4 linked regions of the Drosophila melanogaster genome follow. The protein of the gene in region 2 interacts with the protein of the main gene of each other region in a biochemical or structural test. Each region holds a gene or a part of one and is shown on either strand. Other genes may lie near its edges. The genes, in order: Sfmbt, His3:CG31613, E(z) and esc.

Region 1 (7,646 bases), 8.3 Mb from region 2:
TCAAACTGTTTGGTTAGCCTTCGGATAAGCAGGCGATTTTGAAGACTAAGCTCCGCCACACGGGTTTCCAGCAGAGCGCATCTTTCGTTTAGCTGGTTGACATGCTCTTCCAGCGCAGCTTGCTGTTGGCTGTTAGCCAAGCAATTGGCAGAGGAGGAGGACTTGCTCCACTGCGAGGAGGTGTCGCTTCGGTCTTCATAGAGCTCTGACTCTCCAACATGCGCGCCAATGTCTGGCAAGGGCGTCTTGAGAAACTCCAGCTCGGGTTCAATGGGGTCGAAGGGACCCAAGTTGACTTCTTCCTGTGGCTGGGCTAACTCCTGTTCGATGGATTCCTTGGAGAGTATTTGCTGAACCTCCACCGACTCGATGGGCTTTAGAGCACCAAGTAAATCCTCTGTGGAGCTAACGCACTCAATGGGTCGTTCCACCGCAATACCAGGTCTTTTTTGGCGTCCCACCACCGGCACTGGACTGGTGGTGAATATAATTGGTTCCTCTTTGACGGCAACACTTGGCGTCGATCTCCTGGGTGCATTAAGCTCAGTGGTGTCCACATTGAGGGCGAACAGTACATCACTGAGGGAGTCTACGATCTCTGGCAGCTTCTTGGCCGCCTCATCGTTGAGTAGCAGGGACCAAGGTGTGTAAAATCGATGCAGCTGCTCCTCGTCGCTCAGCCAGGTGAGCACATGGCTATGCAGTCGCTTCTCGTTCAGTGTGGCGCGTATGAAGGCACGTCCTCTGCCCACATTCGTCCAGATCTGCTTAAGGTCCATATACCTCTGACGTTCGTGGGGCGTCAAATGCGTCTGGCAGAATTCCCAGAAAGTGGCGTCATTGTTGTTGCTGCCTCCGCCCGCATTTCCGGACACCATCTCCTGCATGTTCTGGATGAAGCTGGCGGCGCTGAAGGAGGAAGTGCCTGCCGATTGCCTAAGTCCGTAGGACATTAGTTCCTCGAGGGATTCGCACAGTTCCTGAACAGATTCATCCCGCTCAGTGGCAAGTTCTTTGCCACTGAACTTCTGTGAGATTTTATGCGCACTTTCCTGTAGACGTCGAAAGATGTCCTCGCGCCGTTGGCCAAAGGTGCTGCCCGCCAGTTGGCTGCGCATGCTCCGGAAGCCTGCCTCTGTGGGCATCGAGCTGGATGCATTTTCTGGCATTATTTGTGGCTATTATTCAACTAATTATATTTTCTACTCATTTTTCTCACTCCGTTGTGTGCCAACACTGGTTGCTTGACAACAAAACAAGCCAAACAGTGTTGATAAGCGTTGGAATGGGCGCATTCAGATCACCGATTAATGATTTTAAGTGACTGTGACTCAGCATTAGGTGATTTATTAAAATAAAAAAATTGTTTGTAAATAATTTATGGTACCTAAAAAACTTATAAAACTATAGGTTGCGTTATCAAAACAAACCAATTATAACTGAAAGCGCTTAATTTCTCCAATTCATATTGGTAAGGTACAACGATTTCGATTAAAATTGTGTTTTTACTGAGATAAGCAGTATTGTACACTTATCGATAACAATCACTCTGCATTATTTCTCGCTGAACGCGACCACTTGTGCATCCCTGGTGATTTAGCGGGCAAAATAATGCCAAAACGCTGTTGTGCGACTGTGTAGCCCTGGCGTATAATTGCCATCCCTGCTCGCGCAAATGCGAAAGAAGTTAGCACACAAAAATCTGTTAAAAACTATTGTTAAACGATTGAAGATCCAATAATATGTCATACCGCAAGTGCTAGCAACTGGGGAAACCCAATCCGAACGCGTCCAACGTGCAAAAGTGTAAGTTTGCATCCAGGGGCAGCAACGTCGTAAATTTTCTTTTCTGTTCGCGTTGGCTGTCTGCGCAAACGCTTCATTGACTTTTCGAGATTGAACCCATGAAATGTAACCAAAAATTCTGATAAATCGGATATATGCTCGAACCTTATTCAGTTGTGTGAAACTCCACGCGGCGGCTGAAATTCCGACCGTTACGACAGGCTTCAATCGCATTTCCGTACGCTTCCCTCACCGCGCAGCATCTGCGTGCAGAAAAGGCAAAAGTAGAATGAAAAAAAAAGGAAAACGGGAACAGAAGGAGGCAAACAAAACGAACAACGAGGAACACTGGGATTCGGTCAGGATTTACAGCCCATATGGCCGGAACATTCGCCGGTTCCAGGAGCTATTCGTAACCAAACAAACTGGGAGCATTCTATGTTGCATTGTCCATAAAATTGCAGCAAGATTAGCAATCAGCGTCAAATAGATACGGAGATTTCTAAATATGAACATAATATTCTTTTAAAAATTCGAATTAGCAGGCAGCTTAAAAAGTACTAAGTAAATAACTACGTAGTTTTTAGATAGGAATAAATAGGGATTTACTTTTTAAATTCGCCCCATCTTGACCAATTTTTATTATTTCAAAACACTAAACTATTTCAATGTTTGTTTTCAGTCAATGCGAGTTCGAAAAACAAAGGAACGCGACACGCAGCAGTAGAAAGCAATACTTTTTGAAGAGAACCCAGAAAGCTGTCCCATAAATGCTTTTGCCATACTGACCAATCCGGAATCGATAGCACCATTGGCTTAAAATGAACCCATCCGAGCTGCGCATGATGTGGATGAGTAGTCAGTACAACTCGGAGCGCATTACACTGGAGGATGCGGCCACTCTGCTGGGTCATCCCACTGTTGGACTCTCTGTCATGGAGGACCTCTCCGCCCATCAGCCAACTTTGGTGAGTGCAGACGGTTTGATTCAGAAGCCAATCTCTCAATTCGAAGACTAATAAATATAAAATGCTTTCAAATGAGCATCGCGAAAACGAGATACGTGTCTATCACTAAGGCACCCCATTATATTTGATAGTCCTCGGAGTCGAAAACAAACCCAAATTCTTTAGGTTTCAACGTGTACTCCTTGGGGATTGGCCAAATTTCCAAACTATCTTTTTTGTCTGTCTCAGTTATAAACAATTGGAATTTGTTTACTTATTTCTTCTACTTTCTTTTCTTTGATTTATATATTGGTTACAATTTAAATCTCGACACAAAAACACACATAACCAATGGTCGATCCTCAACCCGAACCACCTCCAATCTCCAAAACCCACAATGCTCAAAAAAAGGACATGAATCCGATGATGAGCCTAATGGGGGGAGATTTCACTGGTCAAGCGGCGGCGACTGCTGCGGCACTGGGTGTACAGCCGGGCACCCTGATTGCCACCAACTCGAACAACCTGTACGGATTTGCCCACATGGGCGGCCTGCAGCAGCAACTGCTCCAGCAGTCGGCGGCGGCGGCAGTCTTCCAGAACTATGCGGAGGCAATGGATAACGATGTGGAGAACGGCATGGTTGGCATGGCCATGGAGGCGGTCGTGGACGATGACGACCAAGTGTACGGTCAGAGGGACAATAACTTTGATGATAATGGATCCGAGTTGGAGCCCAAGCAAGAGATTATCAACATCGACGACTTTGTGATGATGAACGAGGACAATAATTCGTACGATGGCACCGACTTTATGACCTCCTCCGATAAGGACATTTCGCAGTCCTCCTCCTCCTGCATGGCACAGATGCCCGGAAGCTTGGGCGTCCCTGGAGTCGAGCACGATCTTTTGGTTCCACTGCCCGATGGCCTGCTGCACCACAAGCTGCTGGGCACAACTCTGGTCCCTGCGATGGGTACGCTAAATGGCAATGCCTTTGGCAACATAATGGTCAGCACTGAAAACACATCCAGCAAGCAAATGCAGCGCACCTATAGTACGGCCAAGGGAGCCAATTCCACCGCAACCACCGCCACCTGCAGTGCCTCCACGTCCTCCGCATTGCGATCACAGCGCAAGACGCGCAAGATCGAGCCCGTTAACAGGCCAGGACTGGTGCTGAAGACACCCATCGCCTACAGGGGCAACATTGACCCTTCGGTGATCCCCATACAGAAAGATGGCATGGGTAAGGTTGCTGTGCACTAGAGTGGGTCGATTCTTAATTAGAACATTGCGGGCAGAAAAGTAAACGATAAGTAACGATAAGTGGTAGAGATCTTAGTTGAGATCATATATTATTAAACATCATCAGTTTGATGTACATTGAACTTATCTAAAATTCCAAAAGCCTTTGCCTTGTATTTACAATCTTTCAAGGCTTGCTCTGTCTACTAGCTTATGTATTTGATAAAGTAAATAGTTATTTCTTTCTAAGTAATTAGTAATGATTCGTTTATTTAAACAATGAAAACCACCTGTAAATCTGCAATCGATCCACTCTACACGATATTAATTTTCAAGCTTTTTATTTTAAATCCTACTCTTAGTTTCACTTATCTTTATGGTTTTGGGTTTGTTTTGCAAGAATTTGGGTTTGTATACCATGATAGCATTTAAATTAAATACGAAATTAACGTTTACATTAATATGCACTTAAACGATTCGTTTTTTCTTCTTCTACAGCTGTCTGTAAACGTTGTGGCGCCATTGGAGTGAAGCACACATTCTACACAAAATCGCGACGTTTTTGCAGCATGGCCTGTGCCCGAGGCGAACTATATTCGTTGGTACTTAACACTAAGATGGAGGGAGACCAGGCAACCACTAGTTCCCCGGATCCTGGAGCGGGTTCGGAGTCAGCCGATTTGCCTGGCGATCAGCAACAGTCGCAGTCGGATATTGAGCTCGATCTGCATGCGGCGCACATTAAGAATGCGAATTATCGTTTTCGCATTACGGATCAATCAAAGATTACCCAGTTGAATAGCTTCGGCGAACCCATGTCAATGGGCGGCGACGCAGCTGCCAATAATGTACAAATGGCAGCAGATGAAACAATTGCTGCGTTAAACGGCGGAGCAGTGGGCGATGCCACTGCTCCGGGCAGCACCGAGGAGGGTGCATCCACACCCAATTCTTATCTGAGCGCAGCACCCACGCCCAAGGCCTTGCGACTTTTTAAGGACATCTACCCACAGGATGACCTGCCGCAAATACCCAAATACGAGCGCCTTCCCGTACCGTGTCCGCAAATGGAGAAGATAATCAGCATTCGGCGGCGCATGTATGATCCCACACACTCCTACGACTGGTTGCCCCGCCTTAGCAAGGAGAACTTCAATGCGGCACCCGTCACTTGTTTTCCTCATGCACCCGGTTGCGAGGTATGGGACAATTTGGGCGTGGGCATGAAGGTTGAAGTGGAAAATACGGATTGCGATAGCATCGAAGTGATCCAACCGGGTCAGACTCCTACCTCGTTTTGGGTGGCCACCATCCTGGAAATCAAAGGCTATAAGGCCTTAATGAGCTACGAGGGTTTCGATACGGACTCGCACGACTTCTGGGTGAACCTCTGCAATGCCGAGGTGCATTCGGTGGGTTGGTGCGCCACTCGGGGCAAGCCATTAATTCCGCCCCGCACCATCGAGCACAAGTACAAGGACTGGAAGGACTTTCTGGTGGGACGTTTATCCGGAGCCCGCACCCTTCCCTCCAACTTTTACAACAAAATCAACGACAGCCTCCAGTCGCGCTTCCGCCTTGGCCTGAATCTCGAGTGCGTGGACAAGGATCGCATTTCGCAGGTGCGCCTGGCCACCGTCACCAAAATCGTGGGAAAGCGCCTCTTCCTGCGCTACTTCGATTCCGACGACGGCTTTTGGTGTCACGAGGACTCGCCCATCATCCATCCAGTTGGCTGGGCAACCACAGTAGGCCATAATCTGGCTGCACCGCAGGACTATCTGGAGCGCATGTTAGGTAATAATATTTACTTTTTCTGCATACATGTTTTTACATTACCATTTTAACATTTTACATACCATTCCTACTTCCAGCTGGTCGCGAAGCCATGATTGAGGTTCATGAGGACGATGCCACAATCGAGTTGTTTAAGATGAACTTCACCTTCGACGAATACTACAGTGACGGCAAAACCAATAGCTTTGTGGAGGGCATGAAGCTGGAAGCGGTGGATCCACTCAACCTTTCATCCATATGCCCGGCTACAGTAATGGCGGTTCTTAAGTTCGGATACATGATGATACGCATTGATTCCTACCAACCGGATGCCTCAGGGTCGGATTGGTGAGCTTTAAAAGCTTCAATTTAAGTCGGCAAATCTAAATAGCTTCTGTTGTATTTTTTTTTAGGTTCTGTTACCATGAAAAGAGTCCGTGTATCTTTCCGGCTGGATTCTGTTCCGTCAACAACATTTCGGTTACCCCACCGAACGGCTACGACTCTCGTACATTCACCTGGGAGGGTTACCTCCGCGACACGGGAGCCGTAGCCGCTGGCCAGCATCTATTTCATCGGATTATTCCCGATCATGGATTTGAGGTGGGTATGAGTCTGGAGTGTGCAGATCTCATGGATCCCCGACTCGTTTGCGTGGCCACGGTGGCGCGAGTGGTTGGTCGACTACTCAAGGTTCACTTTGACGGATGGACGGATGAGTACGACCAGTGGTTGGATTGCGAATCAGCCGATATATATCCAGTCGGATGGTGTGTACTGGTCAACCATAAGCTAGAGGGCCCACCGAGAGTAGCACATCAGCAGGCCCCGAAACCGGCACCAAAGCCCAAAATACAGCGAAAGCGAAAGCCCAAAAAGGGAGCAGCGGGAGGCAAAACTCCAACCGATAATAATACTCAGTCGGGTAAGTTTTTTTTTTCTAATCAAAGTCATTCGAATTCCTGTATATCATCATGCATCTTCAAATGTTATTCCAGTCAAATCGCGTACAATTGCGCTCAAGACCACGCCGCACTTACCCAAGCTGAGCATCAAGCTGGAGCTAAAGCCGGAGCATCACAATGCTGCCTTTTACGAGAACAATCAGCCCGAGGAGGAAGGCGACGAGGAGGATCCCGATGCGGATGGCGATGGAGACGGAAGCACCAGCCACATCTCCGAGCAGTCAACGACACAGTCGTCCAGTGATCTGATCGCTGGATCGGGCAGTGGAAGTGGGTCCGCCTCGCTGGTAACTCTCGCCACGGGCAGTAACAAAACGGTAAAGAAATCTACTACTAAATCTCCTGCGCCACCAACTGTGGGTCGCAAAGCCACTAGCTACATTGCGGTGAGTACTTAGCGGAATAATAGTGCGTAGAGTCATCCATCTAGCCAGCCAGCCTGCTTGCCCGCCTGAAGTTCAGCTCACGCATCTAAACGGGAGGTCCAAAGAGCATAGTGGTTTTTGTTTTAAACATTAATTAAATTTTATTTAGAGGAATTCCCCTTTAATTTATTTGCCTTTTTTTTTCGAAATAGAAGCATCAGCTTATACACCAAAATACTCCATATTAATCCAAGTTTGCCTTGTTTAGCTTAAGTTTTTGTTATTTCATATGAAATAGATTGTCCGACCCAACTTAAACCACTGTGCTAAAGCTCCGTAACACAACTGCATAAATGTATATAACCAAAATCAAATCGTTCATAAAACGCCAATTTGTATATAATTTAATTTACGCACTGTTATTTTTGGTACTTGCAACAGCCCCAATAGCCCCAACACACCGACATCCAATCGTTCCGTCACACACCCAACCAGCAATGCAACATCATACGTTAACTAATTAAGTCCTTATTTTTTACCCCACTATAGAACTCCTCTGC
Region 2 (3,030 bases):
CAGCCTTGGTTCCCTCACTGACAGCATGCTTGGCCAACTCTCCAGGCAAAAGCAGGCGAACAGCCGTTTGGATCTCCCGACTGGTGATGGTCGAGCGCTTGTTGTAGTGAGCTAGACGAGACGCTTCGGCAGCAATTCGCTCGAAAATATCATTTACAAAGCTGTTCATTATGCTCATCGCCTTCGACGAAATTCCGGTGTCAGGATGGACCTGCTTGAGAACCTTGTAAATGTAGATGGCATAGCTCTCCTTCCTTTTGCGCTTCTTTTTCTTGTCGGTCTTGGTGATGTTCTTCTGAGCCTTGCCAGCCTTCTTGGCTGCCTTTCCACTAGTTTTCGGAGGCATTGTTCACGTTACTTATATTTTCACAAACACAATTCACTTATCGTAATGTGGGCCCGAACGCGTTCACGTTTATACTTTTTTTCGAGCAGTCAATTCAGGTCTAAGTCACCCACCCCTAACTGAATGCGCAGGCAAACGGAAAAGTATAAATATTTCGCTGTCTGGGTTAGGCGAGCATTCGTGTTCCGTGCGTAAAGTGAACTAAGTGAAATAAACGCAAAGCAAAATGTCTGGACGTGGAAAAGGTGGCAAAGTGAAGGGAAAGGCAAAGTCCCGCTCAAACCGTGCCGGTCTTCAATTCCCTGTGGGCCGTATTCACCGTTTGCTCCGGAAGGGAAACTACGCAGAGCGTGTTGGTGCAGGCGCTCCAGTTTACCTAGCTGCCGTAATGGAATATCTGGCCGCTGAGGTTCTCGAGTTGGCTGGCAATGCTGCTCGTGACAACAAGAAGACTAGAATTATTCCGCGTCATCTGCAACTGGCCATCCGCAACGACGAGGAGTTAAACAAGCTGCTCTCCGGCGTCACAATTGCACAAGGTGGCGTGTTGCCTAATATACAGGCTGTTCTGTTGCCCAAGAAGACCGAGAAGAAGGCCTAAACGTTTCAAAGGCTAAGCTAAAAACCTACATGTACATAAAATCGTCAATCAAACCGTCCTTTTCAGGACGACCAAATTATTACCAAAGAATTGAAAAATTTTTTAGCTTGGCAATTTGTTGTAATTAGTAAATCATAAAGAATTATTAACGTAAAGATGGTAATGTAGTAAGGGTTTTCTACTATATGCGGTATAAACTATAATTTGCTTCTTTAAACAATCGCACACCACGATGTGATGCTGTACATGCGGTGTCTGAAACCATTTGTACAGTCTGTACAAATCCATGTTAGAAATACACATTCTATTTAAAAGAGTACGAACGACAGACATTTATTTTTAGTTTAACATATTTTTTGGGAGTCCCGACCAATAAAATTAAATACTTTTTGAAAATCTTCCTCCTTTTAAAAACTGAATGGTGGTCCTGAAAAGGACCGATTGCTTAATAGGGGTACACAGGATGTACACTTTTTAACCGCCAAATCCGTAGAGGGTGCGGCCTTGCCTCTTCAGAGCGTACACAACATCCATGGCTGTAACTGTCTTCCTCTTGGCGTGTTCCGTGTAGGTCACGGCATCACGAATTACGTTCTCCAAGAAAACCTTCAGAACGCCACGCGTTTCCTCGTATATGAGTCCAGATATGCGCTTCACACCGCCTCGACGGGCCAAACGGCGGATAGCAGGCTTCGTGATACCTTGGATGTTATCACGCAGCACTTTGCGATGACGCTTGGCGCCACCCTTTCCCAAGCCTTTGCCTCCTTTACCACGACCAGTCATTTTTCACTGTTCTATACTATTATACACGCACAGCACGAAAGTCACTAAAGAACTAATTTCAACGTTTCTGTGTGCCCCTATTTATAGGTAAAACGACAAAAACCCGAGAGAGTACGAACGATATGTTCGTTCGCTTTTCGCTCGTCAAATGAAATGGCCTCCGTTTTTCTCTCTCTCTCTCTCTCTCTCTCTTTCACCGTCCACGATTGCTATATAAGTAGGTAGCAAATGCTCTGATCGTTTATTGTGTTTTCAAACGTGAAGTAGTGAACGTGAACTTTAGTGAAACCCAAATCGGAGATGGCTCGTACCAAGCAAACTGCTCGCAAATCGACTGGTGGAAAGGCGCCACGCAAACAACTGGCTACTAAGGCCGCTCGCAAGAGTGCTCCAGCCACCGGAGGTGTGAAGAAGCCCCACCGCTATCGCCCTGGAACCGTGGCCTTGCGTGAAATTCGTCGCTACCAAAAGAGCACCGAGCTTCTAATCCGCAAGCTGCCTTTCCAGCGTCTGGTGCGTGAAATCGCTCAGGACTTTAAGACGGACTTGCGATTCCAGAGCTCGGCGGTTATGGCTCTGCAGGAAGCTAGCGAAGCCTACCTGGTTGGTCTCTTCGAAGATACCAACTTGTGTGCCATTCATGCCAAGCGTGTCACCATAATGCCCAAAGACATCCAGTTAGCGCGACGCATTCGCGGCGAGCGTGCTTAAGCTGACACGGCATTAACTTGCAGATAAAGCGCTAGCGTACTCTATAATCGGTCCTTTTCAGGACCACAAACCAGATTCAATGAGATAAAATTTTCTGTTGCCGACTATTTATAACTTAAAAAAAATAAGAACAAAATTCATATTCTATTATTTATGGCGCAAACGGTACTGGGTCTTAAATCATATGTAAAAATACTAATTCTGCCAGAGAAGGAATAAAAATAATCTTATTTTAATTGTCAGCTCAACATTTATTAAATTAAAGAAGAGGTTAATAAATATAAAATATATATAAAAATATATATTTTTATTTGTTCTTTGTGCGAACATCCTTTAAAGCAGTGAAAGTGTCGTGCGGGGCAAGGGACTCTGAACCTTAAACATCTAAAAAAAAATCTGAATTCTGTGTAAGACAGTTTGAAATTAATGAAATTACATTGATGACGGCAATATTTATAAAATAACAGAAAATAATAAAATAAAACTAGCTATTTTATATTTTTTCCATGTGTTAACTGAAGAAAGTGTTATTATTGAAGAGGTCGTACGGGACAATTGACACTGTCCCTTCAAACGCCTGTAAAAA
Region 3 (5,689 bases), on a different chromosome or scaffold from region 2:
CTTCTGATGCCTTGGAACTGCACAGACTCCCTATTTATACAGAATGCGGCTCGATAAAAACCGCTCCAAATATACAAAAACACTTGTCGTTGCACAATTTGCGAGCAACTCGTTAGTTATAGATGAATTGATATTGAAATGTCGCTTGGTGTATTTGGCAGCGATGGGTAACGCCATTAACGAAACACATAAAGCTTAACAATTGATTTCTTTTCTTTTTGTTTTTTTGTACAAAGGAGCTTCTATAATTAAACAAAATGTGTAGGGGAGAAATAAGAGGTACTTTAAAAATACGCTTACAAAGCGAGGGTGTCCGAATCAACATGTAGGAAAAAAGAAAAGGGTAAGGGAACTAGCAATTAACTAAATAAACGTCCTGGAAGCTGGCCGGTGCTCATGTACTGTTGTTGTTACTTTGCCGCGGCTTGAGTATCAGCTTCCCCGTGTCGTCACAGCTCATATTAAAGTCTCCCAGTACCATTCGCGTTCTCGATGTAATTATTTGCGGAGCTATGACTAGTTTCTGTATGCCCAGGATGAACAGGACGACTGCGGAGAGAAATGATAAGGTTTACAAAATCAGTAAGTCAGTTTCAAACCAAAAAAATTAGATTAGATTAAATGGAAGTGTTTGTTAGCTGAAAATTCTTAATCAGTTGGACTATCAATATTGATATATACAAATCGAATTTGATAAAGCGAAGAGCTTTGACAAGATTAAAGGCAACCTAATGTTGCTAAAATTTGGAGAATGTACTTATGTAGTTTGCATAGATGTGATAGATATAAGGAGTGTATTCTACTCAAAATAACAGTAGAAATACCTAAAAATTTGAAATTCTTGATTTTGATCCTTTCTTTTTACCGAGTAGCCTGAGATAACCTGATATATAGTATCGACTTGCTCTACGATATGATTATATGGATTTAAATAGCATGGTATGGCTTGGTATTAAAATTATTCTCCATACTAGGTAGAATATCCGAGGTTCAATGACCGCCGCTGTTGACTACAAAAAGTGACCTATGTACGGAGTACAGTAGTGGCTACACCGATTCTTACCCAATGTTAGGGTGGCGACTGTGAAGACGGGATGAATCCAGAGGGACTCCGTTAGCGGTACAACGGTGGTGCGCGGATCGCGTAGCCAGTACCAGGCGCTGATGGCGGTGCACATGGACATGGCGGAAAGGACAACTGCAAGAAGCTCTATGGTTATTACGGATTGTAATGCTCCCTGGTGTTCTCATTATACGGATGCAACTTACTGCGCCAGCGGAACGTCGAGGGACGGTACGATGAAACCACTTCGGTGAGGCGCCGCTCGAAGGCCTTGAGATCTGCAGAGGAGCGAGGAAAACAAACCCAGTTATGGTTGGTAAACATAGTCAGTGGCTTGCGCGTTTTCCGGCTCTCTTTTGCCGGCGAGTTACATACCTTCGCAGGCTGACGGTTCCATTGCAGCTATTTCCTCAAAGCTCGTGGCCGTCTTAATGCGATTAAATTTGTCCAGTTTAAATATTATTGTATTTATTATTATTATTTGATGAGGTTCTCATAGCTTTCTTTTCCTCTTTTTATGTTTTTGATGACATTCCACGTTTGAGAGCACTGATAACGGGCTGCGTTTCTCAACACTACACAAAGCAGGGTCGTACCAAAGAGGGGCTCTTTGTTTATTTCCTACTTTCAGTACAAAATGGTTGTATAGCTAATTTAAAGTGAGTATTATATTTATGTATTATTTATATTATATTTATATTATTTTAATACAAAAATATCATAGTTTTTATTATAATATAAATATAATTAATGGCTTACCGGACAAATTAAGTACCCACTAAATGGTCTTCTACATACACCCATGTGTCTAAGTTATTCTTCCTGCAGTACAACGGTCACACTGCGGCAGCTGTTGCAAAAAAAGGCGGATAATATTTGTAGCAAAATCAGTGTTTTTTATACGTAAAATCAACAAATATAAAGTCCCTCGAAGGCATTATGAATAGCACTAAAGTGCCGCCCGAGTGGAAGAGGCGTGTCAAGTCGGAGTACATCAAAATCAGGCAGCAGAAGCGCTACAAACGTGCCGACGAGATCAAGGAGGCGTGGATAAGAAACTGGTAAGCGCGGGAGAGATGGTGGATGTCTGGGAATCGAAAATCTATGTACACATATCCTCCAGGGACGAGCACAACCACAATGTACAGGATCTGTACTGCGAGTCGAAGGTTTGGCAGGCTAAACCCTACGATCCGCCGCATGTGGACTGTGTGAAGCGGGCGGAGGTGACTAGCTACAATGGCATTCCCAGCGGTCCGCAAAAGGTGCCCATTTGCGTGATCAACGCGGTCACTCCCATACCCACCATGTACACGTGGGCACCAACACAGCAGAACTTCATGGTGGAGGATGAGACGGTGCTGCACAATATACCCTATATGGGCGACGAGGTCCTCGATAAGGATGGCAAGTTCATAGAGGAACTGATCAAAAACTACGATGGCAAGGTTCACGGCGACAAGGATCCCTCGTTCATGGACGATGCCATCTTCGTAGAACTGGTGCACGCCCTTATGCGCTCCTACAGCAAGGAACTGGAGGAAGCCGCTCCGGGTACAGCGACTGCCATTAAAACAGAGACGTTGGCGAAATCAAAACAGGGCGAAGATGATGGGGTAGTTGATGTTGACGCAGATGGTGAATCTCCCATGAAGCTTGAGAAAACCGACAGCAAAGGGGATCTGACTGAAGTTGAGAAGAAGGAAACTGAAGAACCGCTGGAGACTGAAGATGCGGATGTTAAGCCCGATGTGGAAGAAGTCAAGGACAAGCTGCCCTTCCCTGCGCCCATTATTTTTCAGGCCATCAGCGCTAACTTTCCAGACAAGGGCACCGCGCAAGAGCTCAAAGAAAAGTATGTAATTTGATAACCAGGTTAGTAAATATCCCTTCTTACGGCTTTTTCTTTTTGCTAGGTACATTGAGCTTACGGAGCACCAGGATCCGGAGCGCCCACAGGAGTGCACACCCAACATTGACGGCATCAAGGCCGAGAGCGTTTCCCGGGAAAGGACTATGCACTCCTTTCACACGCTCTTCTGTCGTCGTTGCTTCAAATACGACTGCTTCCTGCACCGTAAGTTAAACGATGGGAACTGCTGCCAGCTGGGTTACCTAATGACTTTACGTTTTGTTTTTGCTTTTCTTTTCTTGTTTGGAAACAATATTATCTTACCAAAAAACACAAATCTGTACCATTTCTTAAACCCCCAAAAAAAAAAACGAAATTCCAAAATGTATTGAATTAATTGCAATTTAGGTCACCATGTGCAGGGTGAGTCGTTGTTGTAGTTGTTGTTTCGATAACCACACGCACACACTCTCATGCCGTTTGCCCGTCAACGCCTCCGCATCCTCATCTCGCTGTCTATGAATATAATTTTTATAATAACCCATATCGGTGGATAATTTGGCTATGTTTGTCATGTGTCTAAATTGACCCCTCGGTGTTGCTCACCTCATTTTCGTGTGGCTTTGGCTGGACCATTTCTCTCTATCTCTTCAAATGTAACCGATTACCCTCATGCTAATCCAAAAGCGTTTCATAGACATCAAGTGATTTTCGCCCGATTGAGTTATTCTAATCCCGCTGCTCTGTGTTCACAGGCTTGCAAGGACATGCGGGTCCCAATCTCCAGAAGCGTCGCTATCCGGAACTGAAGCCTTTCGCCGAACCTTGCAGCAACTCCTGCTACATGTTGATCGTAAGTTGGATGCACTTTATAAATTTAAATGGTATTTTAATTCTGTTATATGCTGCAGGATGGCATGAAGGAAAAGCTGGCGGCCGATAGCAAGACACCTCCCATTGATTCCTGCAATGAGGCCAGCTCCGAGGACAGTAATGACAGCAACAGTCAGTTTAGCAACAAGGACTTTAATCATGAGAATAGCAAGGATAATGGCCTGACTGTAAATAGCGCCGCTGTGGCTGAGATCAACTCCATTATGGGTCAGTTTTAAGTTAGCAGATTGGTTGGACCATGTGTTAAATATTTCACTTTTTCTCACCAGCTGGCATGATGAACATCACCAGTACGCAGTGCGTTTGGACAGGCGCTGACCAAGCACTTTATCGGGTCTTGCATAAAGTGTATTTAAAGAACTACTGCGCGATTGCGCACAACATGCTGACCAAGACCTGTCGTCAGGTGTACGAGTTTGCCCAGAAGGAGGATGCTGAGTTTAGCTTCGAGGATTTGCGACAGGACTTCACACCTCCGCGCAAGAAGAAGAAGAAGCAACGTCTGTGGTCGCTGCACTGTCGTAAGATTCAGCTAAAGAAGGACTCATCCTCGAATCACGTGTACAACTACACGCCCTGCGACCATCCCGGACATCCATGCGACATGAACTGCTCCTGCATTCAGACACAAAACTTCTGCGAAAAGTTCTGCAACTGCAGCAGCGATTGCCAGAATCGTTTCCCCGGCTGTCGCTGCAAGGCTCAGTGCAATACGAAGCAGTGTCCTTGCTATCTGGCAGTGCGCGAGTGTGATCCCGATCTGTGCCAGGCCTGCGGAGCGGATCAGTTTAAGCTGACCAAGATCACGTGCAAGAACGTGTGCGTGCAGCGAGGACTGCGTAAGAAACCTTCTTATATATCCATATTGGTCTTCGCCACTGTCAACTAATTTAATCTTCAATTGCAGACAAGCACCTGCTCATGGCTCCGTCTGACATCGCCGGCTGGGGCATCTTTCTTAAGGAGGGTGCGCAAAAGAATGAGTTCATTTCGGAATATTGTGGCGAGATCATATCCCAAGATGAAGCCGATCGCCGTGGCAAGGTTTACGACAAGTACATGTGCTCATTTCTTTTCAATCTGAACAACGATTTTGTTGTGGATGCCACTCGGAAGGGCAACAAGATTCGGTTTGCCAATCATTCCATTAATCCCAATTGCTATGCCAAGGTTATGATGGTCACCGGCGATCATCGCATCGGCATCTTTGCCAAGCGGGCCATTCAGCCCGGCGAAGAGCTATTCTTTGACTACAGATACGGACCCACGGAGCAGCTGAAGTTCGTGGGCATAGAGCGTGAAATGGAAATTGTTTGATAACGAGTCTACTTATGAAAATCGTATCATACAAATTGAATAAAACTATATTTTTGAAAACACACCTAAACGGATTTAGCTACATTGGCTATAATTGGTTTGGGTCGCGATTTGAAGATTAATTTTTTGGTGCAAACGGCGCGCACAGTGTACTCCGTTCTTTGGCGACTCTTGTGCTCCTGGGCGATCGTATGATCCAGCACTGTGCGCTCCGCTCCCGTGGTGGCGTTCAGCATACTGACATCCTGCGAGGCCATGCTCGTTTCTAGGAGTCGTTCTCCCTCATTGGTCTTGGACTTTTCCAGCACCGCAAATGGTTTATCCAACTTTTGTTCACGTCCCTGAAGAATGTGATGTCCAATGATGAGAATCTTATGATATAAGTAAAATCAGATTGTTTAAGAGCTGGTTAAATTATAACTTTACAATTACAACTCACAGGTTGGCCATATTTATTGTAGTAGAGATCGCCAATAAACTGGCCGTGCATATCCTGGTTGCTCCGCACCTCCAGGTCGCCTTGCAGCTCTATAATGGCCCAATCGCCTTTGCCAGCGTTTTGT
Region 4 (4,546 bases), 9.6 Mb from region 2:
AATGTGAACAGTGAAATTCTTGAAGGTTCAACTTTAGAACATGATTGACAGATATTTTATTTAGAGTAAGGCAATCTTCGTGGGAAAAGTCCAATCCACTGCCCCTACTAAACCCAAAAGCTTTATCACAATCTCTCAACTGATGTTCTATTTATATATTCTTTCTTTCTATTGCCAAAACTATTTACCTAAAACCAAAAAAAAAAAAAAACATGAAAACTAAATGAAAACTTTTGCACAAAACACACAAACAATCCGAATGCTATGCAACGTCAAATCAACGTGGTGTCTCGTTGCCCAAAAATTGCCCATTTGCATTTTCGCTGTTACTCACTGCCAACTGCTGGGCGCCGAAAAACTTGACCGCCTTGGCACTCGAAACTGGCGCCCAACGTATGCCGGCCATTTACTTCTGCAGGGAGGGCTGCAATGGGAATTGCAAGAACCTGAACTGCAGTCGCCATAGCCACGGACGCGATGACCAGCAGCAGGACAACAACAACTCCAATAGGAGTTGCAGCCTGCAGGAGGCGTCGCCTGGGGGAGCAGGTGCAGGTGTCACACCAGGCGCTGACAACCAGGACAGCATAGAGAGTCGCACCAAGGGCGTTTCCCAGGCGCCGCAGACCCACAGTGGCCCAACGGGTCCACCATCCAACACCTCGAGCGAAACTATCGCACAACCTGCCCCTAAGCTTCAACCCGCCCTGGAAACCGTAAGGGAATCGGTGATGGAAGAAAGTCCTTCGAAGGATCCCGGCGACAAGGGACCACCGCCGCCCGCCAGCACATCCACATTGACATCCCAAACCACCACCTCCTCCAGCGCAACCGCGGAGCCAAGTGCCAAGGCGGCCGAGAGTCAAGCGGGAAGTGCCGGCAGCAGTGGCAGTTGCAGTAACCCAGCGGCGGTGCATCGGCAACGCCGCCTAAGGACACCCACCTGGGCCAGGTCCATGTCGACGAACAAAACGTACTTGAAATTTGATTTCTATGCTAGACTAACGTTTATCCGTTACGCCTCTTCAGTTCGTTCGATTTGCCTTTATCGTTTCACGTTTGCGTTAACCAACCAACAACCACACAGCTCCAGAATGAACTACTTTCTATATATACACACATAACTCTATGAACTCTGTCTCTCTATCTCTCCTTTATCCAATCTATCCATCTGTCTGCTGACCTCTGTCTGCGATTTCCACTGCTGTAATCTTCTGTCTAGCCTCTGTCCCCTACCCCAAATCTTTTGCTCGCTTCTGTTGTAAATAACTATTTTATCCTAGACTAATCAAAAAAAAAAAAAGAAAAAAGGACACTTGTTTCGTTCCCCAGCCGCGCTCAGCGGGATTGTAAATGTTTCGTTGCCGCGTTTGGACAAAAAATTGCTTACTACGTTTAAATACTCCGTGCAACTATTAAATCAAACTTACATTCATACGTAGTAAGCACTTGAAGGAGTGAGAACTGGAAGATATACTTTAAATGTATTCAAAACTGCTTAAAGTATTTGTATGATACATTTGCATTTCTGAGAAACTATATCTTCCACTTTTGACGCCACTCGCAAGCAGCAACTCTCCTAGTCTTGTCGACCAGTGTAATTTTGTGAATACATGTACAAAGTTTGAATACCGCACATGAATCCATGGCATGTTGATTGTCCTACATTTGTTTGTTTTCTATATTAAAAAACTAGCTTGCGCATGTGTTTTGTCGTTTTTGAACTTTTTTTAACTTTCCCGCCTAAGTGTGTTAAATACCGTTTAATGTTTACCAACACTGGCCAGCCGATCGTGACCAGGTGGCCACGCTGCGCAATGGTAAGACCGTACTGCCTGCAATGCCTGGGTATTTTACGCGATCCGTGACTGGGGTCACACCATTGCCGCCAAAAAAAAACATTTTCATTCGCCTCGTTATTTAAACATTTAAAAAAAGCATTATCGAATAGTTCATTGAAGTCGCGGCCTAATTTGGGTTTCATTTAACCGTACAAACGTGCCGCGCGTTCGAAATGAGCAGTGATAAAGTGAAAAACGGCAACGAGCCCGAGGAGTCGGAGGAATCATGCGGCGTGAGTAGCGAATGACAAATGGCTGTGCGAACCGAGAATTAATGGATCTTTTGGGCCATGTGCCGGCTGCAGGATGAGTCGGCCAGCTATACCACCAACAGCACCACCTCGCGCAGCAAGTCCCCGTCATCCAGCACGCGCAGCAAGCGCCGCGGTCGCCGGAGCACCAAATCGAAGCCAAAAAGTCGCGCCGCCTACAAATACGAGTAAGAATATGCACTTTCTCAGCTGGCCACTGATACTGAACCTACAAATGATTACCATGAAGCACCCACGTGAAGGAGAACCACGGAGCCAACATCTTCGGCGTAGCCTTCAACACGCTGCTGGGCAAGGATGAGCCACAGGTCTTCGCTACGGCGGGCAGCAACCGGGTGACCGTCTACGAGTGCCCTCGACAGGGCGGGATGCAGCTGCTCCACTGCTATGCAGATCCGGATGTGAGTCGCCAGGATACAGAATACACTTTCAAGACCCTATTGATCAGTTGGCTAAAGTTAGGGGCTTCATACATTAGACATCGCATTCAAAGCTGTAGAAAAAGTGGGATCCAGTCAAAGTTTCTATTAAATCATTGCTTTTGTTAATTGTTTTAAAGTAAGAACAATCGTTACAGGCTTTCAGCATGGTTTCACAATATCCAAACATTTATCATTTCTTGTATTAAGTTTGGTTTTTCATAACAGTCAAGTTTTCAAATTAAAGCTTATATTGTTAATTTAGCCGAGAGTAACTGAGAATATGGTCGCAAATGTAATTGTACAAACTCGAAATACATCAACAAATCTTGAATTCCCTTCCCAGCCCGATGAAGTATTTTACACCTGCGCCTGGTCGTACGACCTTAAGACCTCTTCACCTCTCCTGGCCGCTGCTGGATACCGCGGAGTCATCCGGGTTATTGATGTCGAGCAGAATGAGGCGGTGGGCAACTACATTGGCCATGGACAGGCCATTAACGAGCTGAAGTTCCATCCGCACAAGCTACAGCTTTTGCTTTCGGGCAGCAAGGATCACGCGATAAGATTGTGGAACATCCAGAGCCATGTGTGCATTGCCATCCTGGGCGGAGTGGAGGGACATCGCGATGAGGTGCTGTCCATCGACTTTAATATGCGTGGAGATCGCATTGTGTCGAGCGGCATGGATCACTCGCTGAAGCTGTGGTGTCTGAATACGCCCGAGTTCCATCACAAGATCGAACTGTCGAACACTTTCAGCCAGGAGAAGTCAACGCTGCCTTTCCCCACGGTGACCAAGCACTTCCCCGATTTTTCAACGCGGGATATACACAGGAACTATGTGGACTGTGTGCAGTGGTTCGGCAACTTTGTGCTCTCCAAGTCCTGCGAAAATGCCATTGTCTGCTGGAAACCGGGACAACTACATCAGAGCTTCGAGCAGGTGAAGCCGAGCGACTCCTCCTGCACGATAATTGCGGAATTCGAGTACGACGAGTGCGAGATCTGGTTCGTGAGATTCGGCTTCAATCCGTGGCAGAAGGTGATTGCCCTGGGCAATCAGCAGGGCAAGGTGTATGTGTGGGAGCTGGATCCCAGCGATCCCGAGGGCGCACACATGACCACCCTGCACAATTCGCGTAGCGTGGCCACTGTGCGCCAGATAGCCTTCTCTCGCGATGCCAGCGTACTGGTCTACGTGTGCGATGACGCCACCGTGTGGCGATGGAACCGCAGACAAACAACTTCCATCTGATGGCGCAGCTGGGCGCAACCACAAACCAAATCTCACGTGGCCAAAACTTACAACATTTCCCTCAATTAGTTCCTAGTTGGTTAGCATTAAGATATAGAATTACGCTCCTGTGCTGTTCCAAATTATTTCAAGTAAATCCAATTAATAGTTGGATGAGATTTAAATATGTTAAGCCGGTTGCTTTTTAGATGTAAGAACGAATAGTTGTTGCTTACTCTGCTGCCTTTATTTATTGTAAATAAAGTGAGTACATTGTAATTTCACATGTATATAAGCAACATTGAAGATGTATTTTCTGCTTAACCAGAATCCAAACTGCTGCTCTTTAAGCCATGTAAACGTCTTCAAGCTGACTGAGTGTCCCCAGTTGGCAATTCTAATTGCGAAACAAAGCAAAGCTGCGCATAACAAATGGCTTTCAATTGCTACGTCATTTATATGCATTGCTGCAACGCCATCCAGCTCCAATCTGCTGGAAATGCGGCGAATAAGCGCGACGAAATTGAAACTGCCAACGGGCGTGCGAACCGGGATGAGTGGGAAACCAAGCCAGGCCAGGCGGACAGCGATCCCGACCAGCCATAACAGCTCCCAGCAGACTGATTAAGCGAGCAGAGTCCCACAATGATTTGCCATGCCCTAGCTGGATTTTTATCGAACGCTTCTCTCTCGTTTTGATGAAAGTGCAGGCCATTTCCATCATGGGTTTTTTTCTTTTTTGGGGGGTTGTATCTAATGGAAGTTTATGAAAATAGC

The links.
Region 1: the proteins of His3:CG31613 (region 2) and Sfmbt form a complex in vitro, tested with the Drosophila melanogaster proteins (2 studies listed by BioGRID).
Region 3: of the proteins of His3:CG31613 (region 2) and E(z), one has a biochemical effect on the other in vitro, tested with the Drosophila melanogaster proteins (3 studies listed by BioGRID).
Region 4: of the proteins of His3:CG31613 (region 2) and esc, one has a biochemical effect on the other in vitro, tested with the Drosophila melanogaster proteins (2 studies listed by BioGRID, with this or other methods).

What each region holds. Positions count from the first base shown.
Region 1 is NT_033779.5:13,170,774-13,178,419, reverse strand, and holds the start of Sfmbt (Scm-related gene containing four mbt domains), read left to right. Parts: upstream 1-1,663; 5' UTR 1,664-1,751; coding exon of another isoform or gene 1,752-1,883; exon of another isoform or gene 1,884-1,886; intron 1,887-1,950; exon of another isoform or gene 1,951-1,997; intron 1,998-2,037; exon of another isoform or gene 2,038-2,197; intron 2,198-2,467; 5' UTR 2,468-2,606; coding exon 2,607-2,753; intron 2,754-3,054; exon of another isoform or gene 3,055-3,143; coding exon 3,144-3,981; exon of another isoform or gene 3,982-4,193; intron 4,194-4,478; coding exon 4,479-5,777; intron 5,778-5,854; coding exon 5,855-6,104; intron 6,105-6,169; coding exon 6,170-6,681; intron 6,682-6,754; coding exon 6,755-7,107; intron 7,108-7,635; coding exon 7,636-7,646. Other genes in the region: CG5439 (uncharacterized protein), read right to left, coding at 1-1,169; CG43925 (uncharacterized protein), read right to left, coding at 1,532-1,663, 1,752-1,883. UniProt on the Drosophila melanogaster protein: Polycomb group (PcG) protein that binds to the Polycomb response elements (PREs) found in the regulatory regions of many genes.
Region 2 is NT_033779.5:21,423,217-21,426,246, forward strand, and holds His3:CG31613 (histone H3), read left to right. Parts: upstream 1-1,976; 5' UTR 1,977-2,033; coding exon 2,034-2,444; 3' UTR 2,445-2,505; downstream 2,506-3,030. Other genes in the region: His2B:CG17949 (histone H2B), read right to left, coding at 1-346; His2A:CG31618 (histone H2A), read left to right, coding at 573-947; His4:CG31611 (histone H4), read right to left, coding at 1,422-1,733.
Region 3 is NT_037436.4:10,634,075-10,639,763, reverse strand, and holds E(z) (enhancer of zeste), read left to right. Parts: upstream 1-1,884; 5' UTR 1,885-2,002; coding exon 2,003-2,124; intron 2,125-2,186; coding exon 2,187-2,918; intron 2,919-2,979; coding exon 2,980-3,140; intron 3,141-3,323; coding exon 3,324-3,338; intron 3,339-3,670; coding exon 3,671-3,768; intron 3,769-3,826; coding exon 3,827-4,016; intron 4,017-4,078; coding exon 4,079-4,648; intron 4,649-4,716; coding exon 4,717-5,126; 3' UTR 5,127-5,189; downstream 5,190-5,689. Other genes in the region: Cnep1r2 (CTD nuclear envelope phosphatase 1 regulatory subunit 2), read right to left, coding at 395-549, 1,064-1,210, 1,270-1,341, 1,439-1,460; CG34001 (uncharacterized protein), read right to left, coding at 5,192-5,497, 5,566-5,689. UniProt on the Drosophila melanogaster protein: Polycomb group (PcG) protein. Catalytic subunit of the Esc/E(z) complex, which methylates 'Lys-9' and 'Lys-27' of histone H3, leading to transcriptional repression of the affected target gene.
Region 4 is NT_033779.5:11,826,704-11,831,249, reverse strand, and holds esc (extra sexcombs), read left to right. Parts: upstream 1-1,844; 5' UTR 1,845-2,014; coding exon 2,015-2,074; intron 2,075-2,146; coding exon 2,147-2,280; intron 2,281-2,342; coding exon 2,343-2,514; intron 2,515-2,878; coding exon 2,879-3,790; 3' UTR 3,791-4,046; downstream 4,047-4,546. Other genes in the region: Pde1c (phosphodiesterase 1c), read left to right, coding at 419-973. UniProt on the Drosophila melanogaster protein: Polycomb group (PcG) protein.